Macaca mulatta: one gene and its partner. The protein of the gene in region 2 interacts with the protein of the main gene of each other region in a pairwise test. Links are inferred from orthologs where the notes say so. Each region holds a gene or a part of one and is shown on either strand. Other genes may lie near its edges.

Region 1 (5,711 bases), about 36 Mb from region 2:
CTTCAATGTCCAGATCAAGCCTTCTTCGTCACCCCCTCCAACCTTACCTGTTTCCTCCCTAGATATTCATAGAGAGTAATATATTTTATCATCTAAATAGTCTTCTGTATTGCTCTCTAGTAGCTTTTTGTGTATACTTAACTAGGCTTCAGGTTCCTTGAGGGCGAGGATTTGTTTTGTTCATTTTTGTGCCGCCCACAGTGCCTTGCACATAGAGACTCTAGTAATGTTACTTATTGACTGAAGAAGTACGAGCATGACCTGCATTTAACAACAAAAAGAGTTTTAGTTAATTAGCACCCGCTCATCAGCAAGGCCTAAACATCTGCCAGTGGAATCGGCGAAGTCTTTTCCTAAAAGTTAAAAAGCTGAGTTTATTCATCACAGATTGGGAACTTGTAGTAGGTGTGTGTGTGAGCGGGGGAGGTTTTACCAGTTAAATCAAATTACAAGAGGTTGGTGCCCAATTTTCAAGGGAGTTTGTGTAGTGATGTTTGTCTTTTTCACTGCATGATGTGACTCTTGATTATGGGATGGAAGAAATTAGCATTATGAATTTTCTCTGTGCTTATTTCCATAATTAATTGTTTGTTGACTGTTTTGAAGAAATTTAAGCAGAATTTGAGGATTTAGTTTATCAAACAATGTAGTGAAGGGGCTAGGTAGCAAAAACTTTTTTTTTCTTTTTTATTATACTTTAAGTTCTAGGGTACATGTGCACAACGTGCAGGTTTGTTACATATGTATACATGTGCCATGTTGGTGTGCTGCACCCATTAACTTGTCATTTACATTAGGTATATCTCCTAATGCTATCCCTCCCCCCTAGCAAAAACTTTTTGAAGAAATTCATTGACCTGCTTTCCTAGATCAAGGACTTTTTGAAATAAAAAGGCTCTCAGAGATCCAACTTGTAGCCTCCAGTGGCTTGTAATAATTTCTTGCTGATGTGGCAAGTTACCTTAAATCGTTTCTAGAACAAGACGTGAGGTATAAATGCCAATGTGACAAAATGTCTGAACAGTAGACTTGAAACTGCAGGAGGATCATAAGAACCCATTTGTTCAAGGAAGTGGAGGCAATTCATGACTAAATCTAGACGTGTGGTTTTAGGCAGATGGCAAGTGAATTCATTTATCATTGTTGATCTGCTTTGAGCTCAGTGGAATCGCCGATTGTGACAATCCGCAGAGCTAGTTGGTTGAAATGAAGTCACAACTCGGAGGAGAGTCATGAATTTTGACGAACATGAATCACCTTTAACATTTTTATGGCTGCCTTCGGAGTGCAAACCCCCGGCATGTCCCTGAGTTATTAAGCATTTGCCCTATCACTGTGGGCAGGAGTCTTCTGAATACCAAAACGATTTTGAAATTTCGGGCTATACGGTCAACATTGGAGGTGTCTCCATTCAACTGGCCCCGTGAAAGTTTCAGTCTTTTTCATCGAAGTGCCGAAATCGATGGCCGAGTCACAATGAAGACGGCTTCAATAGGAACCCTCTCGCTCCTAGTTTGGAGCAGCTGTCTTTGCGAGGCAATCTTCTGAATTGACTGGATCGGAATTGATCCGTGAGAGTCGTAACCATCCGTTTTTGTACGAATAAAGTTGACAAACTTTTTTAGACGCCTTTGGCGTTTATGTTTAAAACGACACCACCTGCTAAGTAACAAACAGACTCTTCTTTATCGCCGTGGCAAAAATGTATTCTCCCCGTGTGTGTGTTTGTTTGTTTTTACCCTTCCGCTACACTCTTAAGAAACTTAGCCGCTTCCGCCCGGGAGAGTGCCCTAACCGCGAGTCGGGTTGACAGGGCTGCTCGCATGCGCCGTCTCCACCGTGGTGTTTGTCGCAATGGGCGCTGCGCGGAGGGCTACATGGAATCTCGACTTTGCAGCTTGAAGTCATTTTGTTGGCGGCGCTGGTTACCGCGGCTACCTCCGCGCGGGCACTTGATTGTAACAGAAAGTAGTTCCGGCCCGTGTTGTTTCGGCCGAGGAGCCGTCGCCGCCATTTCAAGACCGTACTAGGTAGATGGCCAACTAGAGTTCCCAGGGTTCGAAGCCTGTAACTGCTGCCGCCGCTGAAGCCCTCCAGAGCATTGCTACGGCTGCTGCCCTTGTACTACTACCTCCAAATACGTTCTTGCCGGTAGTGGCGGCAGCAGGACCAGTTACCTTTTTTTTGCTCTCCCTCGAGAAGCTCCAGATGGCGTCTTCCGTGGGCAACGTGGCCGACAGCACAGGTACCGGTGTCCCGTTCTACCTTGGCAGATGCCCCCTTGGGGTCTCGCGCCGTCCTCTACCTTGTATCACTCCTTCCCTCCCTTACCTCGAACCATCCCCATTACATCAGTGACATTGCTGAGCTTCTCGTGGTAGATCGGGTTTTCCGCTGTCGTCCGCTTCCCGAACATTTCCTCCTCCTGCTTTGCTTGCTTTTTGCTCCCTTTCTTGCTTTGTTTTTATTTCGTAAATGTTGTAGCTTTCCACTCTCTCTGGGCGCTTCTATCACACGTGCGCGCTTAGAATGTCGTGGAATGGACTGCATTGGAATCCCTGCCCTTTCACTCCTTTGCAGCGGTTTTCTCCCCTAATTCCAGCTCTTCACCTCTCCTTTTTTCCCTCCGTCTCCCCCTCCAGCCTTTTCCCCTTAGCCAGATTTGGTCCTTCTCTGCCAATCTAGGGCGGGGGTGCCGTTCCGATGTAATCGTATCCTCACTTTGCATCACCCGAGGACGAGCAAAAGCTCGTCGATGGTGCCACAAGTCACCTCGAGAAGAGGGGACGTTGAGCAGCACCCCGCTAGGCAGTGCCTTTCTGGTGTTCTTTCGGTTGAGCGGTCCCGGTTTAGATTGGAAATTTCCAGGGGTTTCCTTTGCCATCGCTCAATTCCACCGCTGCCCTCAGCCTGGATTTCCCACCCTGTCCTCGGGGAACCACACCCTTCCCTTCGCGAGGTTGCCAGCCCTACTGTTCACTTCCTATCCTTGGGGGAGAAACCACCCCGACGCTGCTGCTTTGGCGTTGACCACCCTGCCCGCCCAATTCTCGCTTTGTGTTACTTTCTCGATGTATTCCTCCGCCGCCGCCTCTGGGTCTGCCATCCCCATTCTTTAGCCCAGCATCTCTTTATTCATAGGGTGTAATATTTTTTTAAGTTTCCATCCCTGCTTGAAGAGTTTGTAAAGCAACTGGAGTGTAGCTGCACAAGTACAAGGCGGTTGCCCTTTTAGACAATTCAGTCGCGAGCATTTGGTACTAAAAATACGAAAACAACCAAATTATAGGAGTGTCCTTCAGCTGCCTTTCCATATTGAGTCGATTTGGGCGGAAGGGGGTGGGGAATTGGGCTGCGCTTCTGAGGTTTCCCGCGAGGTTATTTTTTGGTTGTTTCTCAGTTGAGATGTGTGGAGGGTTTTAGTTCCTGTTTCTGGAAGTTGTGCTGTAAGTAGTAGGTGAATCGTCCATAGCATCTTATCCGTAATCGTAGGGAGTGGGATTAATAATTAGTCCGTGCCCCTCTCCCCACTTCTCCACCGTGATTTTCAAAGGTTTGAGATTCTGTACTAGCTTGCCCTTTTTAATGTGTTATTTTATTTGAGGAAGCTGTCGTTTCAAGTGTTAAAATAGATAAGCGGCATTGAAAAGTGACAAAGTAATGTGTGAAAACAAGGAGCTAGGAAGTTCTAGAAACTTAGCTAAAATGTAATTTTAGTTTCTATTAGAGAGATAACCTCTCCCAGATGTGGATGCCAGTCTCAGTGCTCTTTGTGTTGGTGGTCAGCTGTGCATTCTGTCAGGAAATTTACTTTGCTTTCCTCAGTATCCAGAGAACACTCATCAGCTCTAATGATTGGGGAGCTGGGCTCAAGTTTGAACTCGTCACCTTAACCTTGGTAGAATTAAAAAATTTGTCCATGGTTTCCCATTTCAACCAGCTAGTGAAGTGCTACGGTCGAATTCCCAGTTTAAGTATTTACAGTTGTGACAAGCAGTTTTTTTCCCCTCTTTGGGCTTTAGCTATATCCTTTAAAGATCTTGATGTATCTGGATTAAGTCAGTTGCAGCAAAGTGCTTTTATTTATTCGTTATGTTGCGCTTTATCAAATATCTTATATTTTAGCGTCCATCCCCCCTCCTCCCCAACGTTTTGACCATTGCAGTTGCAGATAACTGCCTGGTTTATATAGGCTTGTTTGCACTGTCTTAATCCTTTAGTCAATACCAGAGCTCTTTGGAAAATGTTAGTGCTAAACCAACGTGGGTGGGATTTAGCCAATTTAGTCTCCTTGTGAGTTTGGGATGGTAGAGGAGCAGTAAAATCTTGGGTCTTTATTTAAAATGTTTGATGACCCCTTTAACTATTTTGGCTGTTGACAAATGACAAACATCTTGTTTATCAGCTGTTTTAAAAATAGCACTTTGACTTTTTGGTTTTTCCCTTAGGCTCGTTTCTACTTGTCCTTTTAAAGAATTAAATTGTGAAATATACAAACACATTGATAGAATTTAAAGAGTTAACACATCTGGTGTCCTTACTGAGGTTAAGACTGGTAGATTGTTACCAGTACTCCACTTCCACAAATCCAACCTGAAATATGGTACAAAATATTAAGTTTTCCAATATGTTATTCTGGTATTATTAAGTCTTTGTGACCTTGCAAATCACACGTTTAATATTTTGTTTCTGTATGTAAACTAAGATATAAGGAATGATGTTCGGTGAATCCTTAGATGCTACCTATGATTTATAATTTAAAAGTACAAAGTATTTTTGGTCATAAAATGTAATCTCATTTGGAAGTAAATATTCCTTTCTAGTTTGGGAAAGTATTAATGGGTGAATTCTAAAAATGTCAATTCTGCACTTGATGTTAACTTGGAGATATAAATAACGTGCAGAACACTCTAGTGCTTTACATAGTTTCAAGCATTTCCATTTTTAAGTTAAATATACCATATTTTTACATTTTTTTGTTTACATTTCTAACTTTTTGTTTTCCCCCCTCCTTCCCTCAAATGTTTTGATGATTCTCCAGAACCAACGAAACGTATGCTTTCCTTCCAAGGGTTAGCTGAGTTGGCACATCGAGAATATCAGGCAGGAGATTTTGAGGCAGCTGAAAGACACTGCATGCAGCTCTGGAGACAAGAGCCAGACAATACTGGTGTGCTTTTATTACTTTCATCTATACACTTCCAGTGTCGAAGGCTGGACAGGTAGGAGATGTGGGGGTACCTGCTCGTGATTGCTGCCTCTGGGTGCTGAGCTTGAAAAATGATACTTAAATATTTGAACTTGAAATTTTTCCAGTACCGGGTTTCAACTGAGCCGCCAACGCACATCTGCTCTCTCTTGCCCACTTGTGACATGCCCAGCTGCCAGTTTTTCTCCTTCCTTTTGTGGTGGTGGTTATATTATCAGTATGACTAGGGACCTTTTCTAGATTTTTCTACCTGGGTCTGCTGCTTTCTAGACTCTGTTCAGGTAATAAATTATTATCAATGTATATCTGAGCATCCAGTCTCCCTTTCATGAGACCTGTCAGTTTGAGGGACTGAAATGCTCAGAAATGGTGGTTATGTATGCTGTGGCAGGAGATGCATACCTGAAGTTTCGTTAAGTTGTTATGGTGTGTTGCTTTTAGTTAATCAGTTGAATTAATCAAAAGGGAAGAATTTGTGTTCTTGTCCTTTTAATAATTGTCA
Region 2 (5,065 bases):
GATTTTTTTTCTTTGTCTTTAGTTTTCAGAAGTTTAATTATTTTGTGTCTTAGTGTGGATTTGAGTTATTCTGTTTGGAGTTTGTCCAGCTTCTTGAATCTGTGGGTTTATATCTTTTGACAAACTTTGAGAGTTTTCAATCTTTTTTTTTTTTTTTTTAATATGTTTTTCAGTCCCATTCTCTCTTTCCTCTCTTTCTGGAACTCTTATCATACAAATGTTACTTCTTTTATTATTGTCCTCCAAGTCCTTGAGACTTTTTTCATTTGTTTCTGCAAAGTTTTTCTTTGTTTTTCTGTAAATTCTATTTGTCTGTCATCAAGTTTTCTTCTTCTATCCTCTGTTGACTGCATTCTCTTATCAAACTCCTTAGGTGAGCTTGTTATTTCAGTTATTTTACATTTCAGTTCTATATCTTTCATTTGGTTGTTTTTCATAATTTCTATTTATTTGCTGAGATTTTCTATTGTTTCATTTGTTTTAAGAAAATTTGAAATGGCTTGTTTGAGCCTTTTTTTGATGGTTACTTTAAAATTCTTTTCAGATAATTCCAATATCTGATACCTCTCAGTGTTGGCATCTGTTGTCTTTTCTCTTTCAAGTAGTGGGTTTTCTGGGTTTTGATATGATGGGTAATTTTTAAAATTTTATCTTGGACATTCTGTCTATTATGTTAGGAAAGTCTAGGTCCTATTTTCATCTTTTTTTTTTTTCATCAAGCATCTCTTTATTGACATGTAGTACAAGGGATGGGTGTGTTTGTATGTTCAACTTCCCACTGGACCTTACCTACACCACTCCAGCAAAAGTGGAGCACTTATTCACACGCTGTCTCAAGGCAGATGGGTGGTTTGGAAACTCTGCTTCCCGCTTAGCCTCATTGACTCATTGCTCATGAAAGGCGAACATTGCATGCTACCACTTTATTGCCAGTAAGTGGAGATGTAAGCTCAGTTCCCAGCTGGGCCCTGGAGCCCCCAGATCAAGGGGAAGTGGAGGACTGACTCACACTGCTTAGTTGCTGCAGGTGGAGGCAGAATTTAAGCTTCCTGTTGGCCCCACTGACACAAGGGGAGGGAAGAAGCATGATGTCAACTACTCTGTTTCATATCACTTCATTCAGCCTCCTTGGTTCGTATGAAGGCTTAGCTCTCTACTGGGCCCAGCTGACACAGGCTCATGGGAGAAGGGGGACAAAGTACTGACTAGGCATTCTTTGCCCTACCTCATTTAGTCTGGCTTTGCCAGTGGATGTGGAGGTCAAGCTTCTCATTGGGCATTGCTGACCCCATGGATGGTAGGAAGTGGGATCCCTACAGGTCCTAACTTGAATTACCTTGTTCAGTTGTAATGATGCTGGGTGAGTATAGAGATTCAGCTCCCCACTGGGTCTCTCTGACACCAGAGGCAAGAGGTGAAGCCTAATGGTGACTAAACCCTGCCTCTTCTGCCTCATTGAGCCTTGTTGCTACTGGGTAGGAATTTAGGTTCAACTTGTCATTGGATCCCACAGAAAGAACCCTGGTGGAGGAACTGGAATTGTGCCTGTGTCTTCCACTTAGGGAATTGATGATTACCTTCCCACTGAGCCCTGCTGACACTGCCACAGCAGAGGAATCAGCATTGACTGGCTCTGCTGGCCAAGGGATCAAAGATTAGCTAGTTACTGAGCCTTTTTTGATACCACTTGGCAGGGGAATCAGAGTTCTACATGGTTCTGCCCAGTGGGGAATGCCCACTCTCTTGTGGATACTTCTCAGACAGGGAATGGGTCACTTTGACTAAGAGCTGGGGGAGAGAGAATCCTATCTCCTTAGCTATGCCTACCCAGAAAGGAGCTTCTGTCATGCTGAGCTGGGATGAGGGGAAGAGAAAGAGCAGATTATGGCACAGACTTTAGCTATTCTTGCTGTGATTTAGTAGGTTTCTTAATAAATCTTTATTTACTATATTCCTCTAGGATAATTTCAAGTGACTTTGAGGGGTTGTTTTTTTAAATCATCTTTACCAGTTATGTTTGTTTTCTTGGGGTGCAGGTACGGGAAACTCCTTACATGCTGTTTTCTTCTCAGAGTCCTCCTGAGTTCATTTTTAAAATCTGATCACACTTTTTAAAGTATGATTATTGGATCATCCTGCATCCTTTTATGTTTTAGTGTAGTAGCAACTCCTGTGATGACATATGGTCACCTGGAGGGTCTTATAAATGAGTGGAACCTTGAGCTGGAAGATCAAGAGAAGTACTTTCTTCTCCAGGCCACTCAGGTCAATGCTTGGGACCGTACATTGATTGAGAATGGTGAGATGGTAAGAAGATGTTTTCATTAATCTACCTATATTGTGCAAGTATTTACAGATGAACATAAGAACATAGACCTGTGTTTTGTGGTTTTCTTTGTTGTTGTTGTTTTGTTTATGTTTTTGTTTTTTGAGACAGGGTCTTGCTGTATCACCTAGGCTGGAACACAGTGGTGCAATCACAGCTCACTGCAGCCTCAATCTCCCTGGCTCAAGCAATCCTCCTACCTCAGCCTCCTAAGTAGCTGGGACCACAGGGGCACACCAGCACCCCCAGCTAATGATGTGTGTGTTTTTTCAGTAGAGATAGGGTCTCACTGCATTGCCCAGTCTGATCTCAAACTCCTAGGCTCAAGTGATCTTCTTGCCTTAGCCTCGCAAAGTGCTGGGATTATAGGCATGAGCCACCATACCCAGCCCTGTGGTTAATTCTCTATTCCAATATTGGTGAGCAGTTCAAAATATATTCCTTAGGTAATAAGTACCCTGAATAAAAGGAAATCTTTCATATTTGAAGTGTATTTGAGAAAATTAATATTGCTCTAAAATTGTTATATAAATTCAAATACTTATATTGTTGTATTCATATTTCTCTTTATAGATTAGTATTTTACATGGAGAAGTGAACAAAGTGAAACTGGATCAGAAAAGGTAGAACCTTAGATTTCCTTGGTTGAAAGATTAAAGACCTATCTTTTTATTCAGTGTTTTTTTTCCCTCTGTAGTTTGTTAACTCTTTTCTTTTTGTCACTCCAAATTCCTTTCATCAGCCCTTTTATTAACTTACTTTATTCAGGTTGGAACAAGAATTGGATTTTATCCTGTCAGAGCAGCAGGAACTAGAATTTCTGTTGACTTATTTAGAGGAGGCTACGAGCAACCAGAGTGGACTTCATTATCTGCAGGATGCAGATGAGGAGCGTGTGAAGACGTAAGTAACTGGATAAAGATTGAAGAATGGGGCAGGACTTACATATTATGAGAGCATTCCAGGAACAGAGGGGAAAAGTTGAATTGGAAGGCAAAGAATACAAATCGGTAGAAAGGGACAAGCTTTTGTAGTTGACATTTATCAATTTGTTTGACTGTTTTCTGCTTATCTTTTCTGGATGCTTGTAAATGAGGAAATCATTCTGGCAATTTTGTTTTATAGCATTTTGTTTATTGTTATTACTGTCAACCTTATGCATGTTCACTGTAAAGGTTTTGTATTTGTCAAATTTGTTCTTAAATTAGAAGTACAAATTTTATGTGTGTGGTGTCATGGTATTGTGGGATATTTGTGGTATCCTCTTTATGTTGATTCTGCTAAAACTAATGTTCATGCAATTGCTTTAGTGATAAATCATTTGCTATTTTAAAGGCAATTTGTTAATCTGGAGGCAAACTGTATAGCTTTCAAAAATGGAGTGATTTTGTCAGTGTATTAGGAGGGCTATATTTTATTTGTGAACTCTTCAGTCTTTACCTTCTGTCAGTACAGTGCCAATGTTTCCGAAGTAACTTTATTTCTCTGGAACTGAGGTTTGGTAGTCTGTCAATTTATTAAGTATTAGAATTTGTATGAATGAACAACATAATCTAGACTGAGACTAAATTGGACACATTTTATCAATAACTTATTATGAGTTAAGACTGGGCCTATTTTTAACATGCTTGCAAGTTAACTTTTTTGTAGGAGCATTAAATGTGGTAAGTACAACTAATCTGTATTAACCTAAACCAGTTTCTGCTTTTGTATTTCAACCTTTGTGAATTTTTCTTTTCTTTGTATTGCTTTCTATGCATTCTATCATTTTTTTGAAACATATAGAGTTACATTTTTGGCCATAAGATCCTAACTATAGTTTGAAGAAATCTTCATGACATTAGTTCCTTTCCAGTTGCTCTTTTGTAGTCAGATATATATTCAAGATGAAGTCTTGCTCTGTCGCCCAGGCTGGAGTGCAGTGGCACGATCTCGGCTCACTGCAACCTCTGCCTCCTGGGTTCAAGCGATTCTTCTGCCTCAGCCTCCTGAGTAGCTGGGATTACAGGCACGTGCCACCACACCCAGCTAATTTTTGGTATTTTTAGTAGAGACGGGGTTTCACCATGTTGGCCAGGCTGGTCTCGAACTCCTGACTTCATAATCCACTCTCCTCGGCCTCCCAAAGTGCTGGGATTACAGTCATGAGCCACCACACCCGGCCCAGATTTATATTGTGATGAAATATTTACCAGAATCTTCAACAATCTAGGCAACCAATTCTATGGCATAAGTACTATGCCATAGAAAGGCAGTAGATAGTTGTTACCTACAAATCTAATTGACTCTTTAAATCTTTATACACATTAAGGTTGAAAAATCCTCTGGCCACTTTAATTCTTATAAACATATTTATTGACTGGGTCATGTGTGCGCGCGCGCGCGCGCCTGTGTGTAGTTTGTGTGGAAATCTTGAGAATTTAGGCAACTAGTGAACTTAGCAGATTTGTCTATCTTTGATTATCATGAAGCTCATTTCTCAAAACATCTTTTTTGCCTGATGGAGTATATTTATATGAGGTTTTATTTTGCAAATTTGTGTATTCAAGATCATTGAAGACATCTCAGCATTTATTGAATATTGCCAAACCCTAAATAACTTCTCTTTTGTATGTAAATGTCCTGTAGGTGTATTTTGACACCTTAAAGGATTCATTTGCTCTACAGATCCCCAGGGTATTCACCTGGAGGATAAATAGGTGATGATAAAAATGGCAAAGTAGATAAAAGCCTTCTCAT

Evidence for each region.
Region 1: the proteins of NUP62CL (region 2) and OGT interact in binary tests that used the Homo sapiens proteins (3 or more experiments, as listed by UniProt). The two-hybrid records come from large-scale screens. The link is inferred for Macaca mulatta from reciprocal best matches to the Homo sapiens genes NUP62CL and OGT.

The regions. Positions count from the first base shown.
Region 1 is NC_133426.1:78,015,019-78,020,729, forward strand, and holds the start of OGT (UDP-N-acetylglucosamine--peptide N-acetylglucosaminyltransferase 110 kDa subunit), read left to right. Parts: upstream 1-2,012; 5' UTR 2,013-2,208; coding exon 2,209-2,245; intron 2,246-5,041; coding exon 5,042-5,222; intron 5,223-5,711. UniProt on the Homo sapiens protein: Catalyzes the transfer of a single N-acetylglucosamine from UDP-GlcNAc to a serine or threonine residue in cytoplasmic and nuclear proteins resulting in their modification with a beta-linked N-acetylglucosamine (O-GlcNAc).
Region 2 is NC_133426.1:113,948,699-113,953,763, reverse strand, and holds part of NUP62CL (nucleoporin-62 C-terminal-like protein), read left to right. Parts: intron 1-2,156; coding exon 2,157-2,307; intron 2,308-2,899; coding exon 2,900-2,949; intron 2,950-3,094; coding exon 3,095-3,229; intron 3,230-5,065.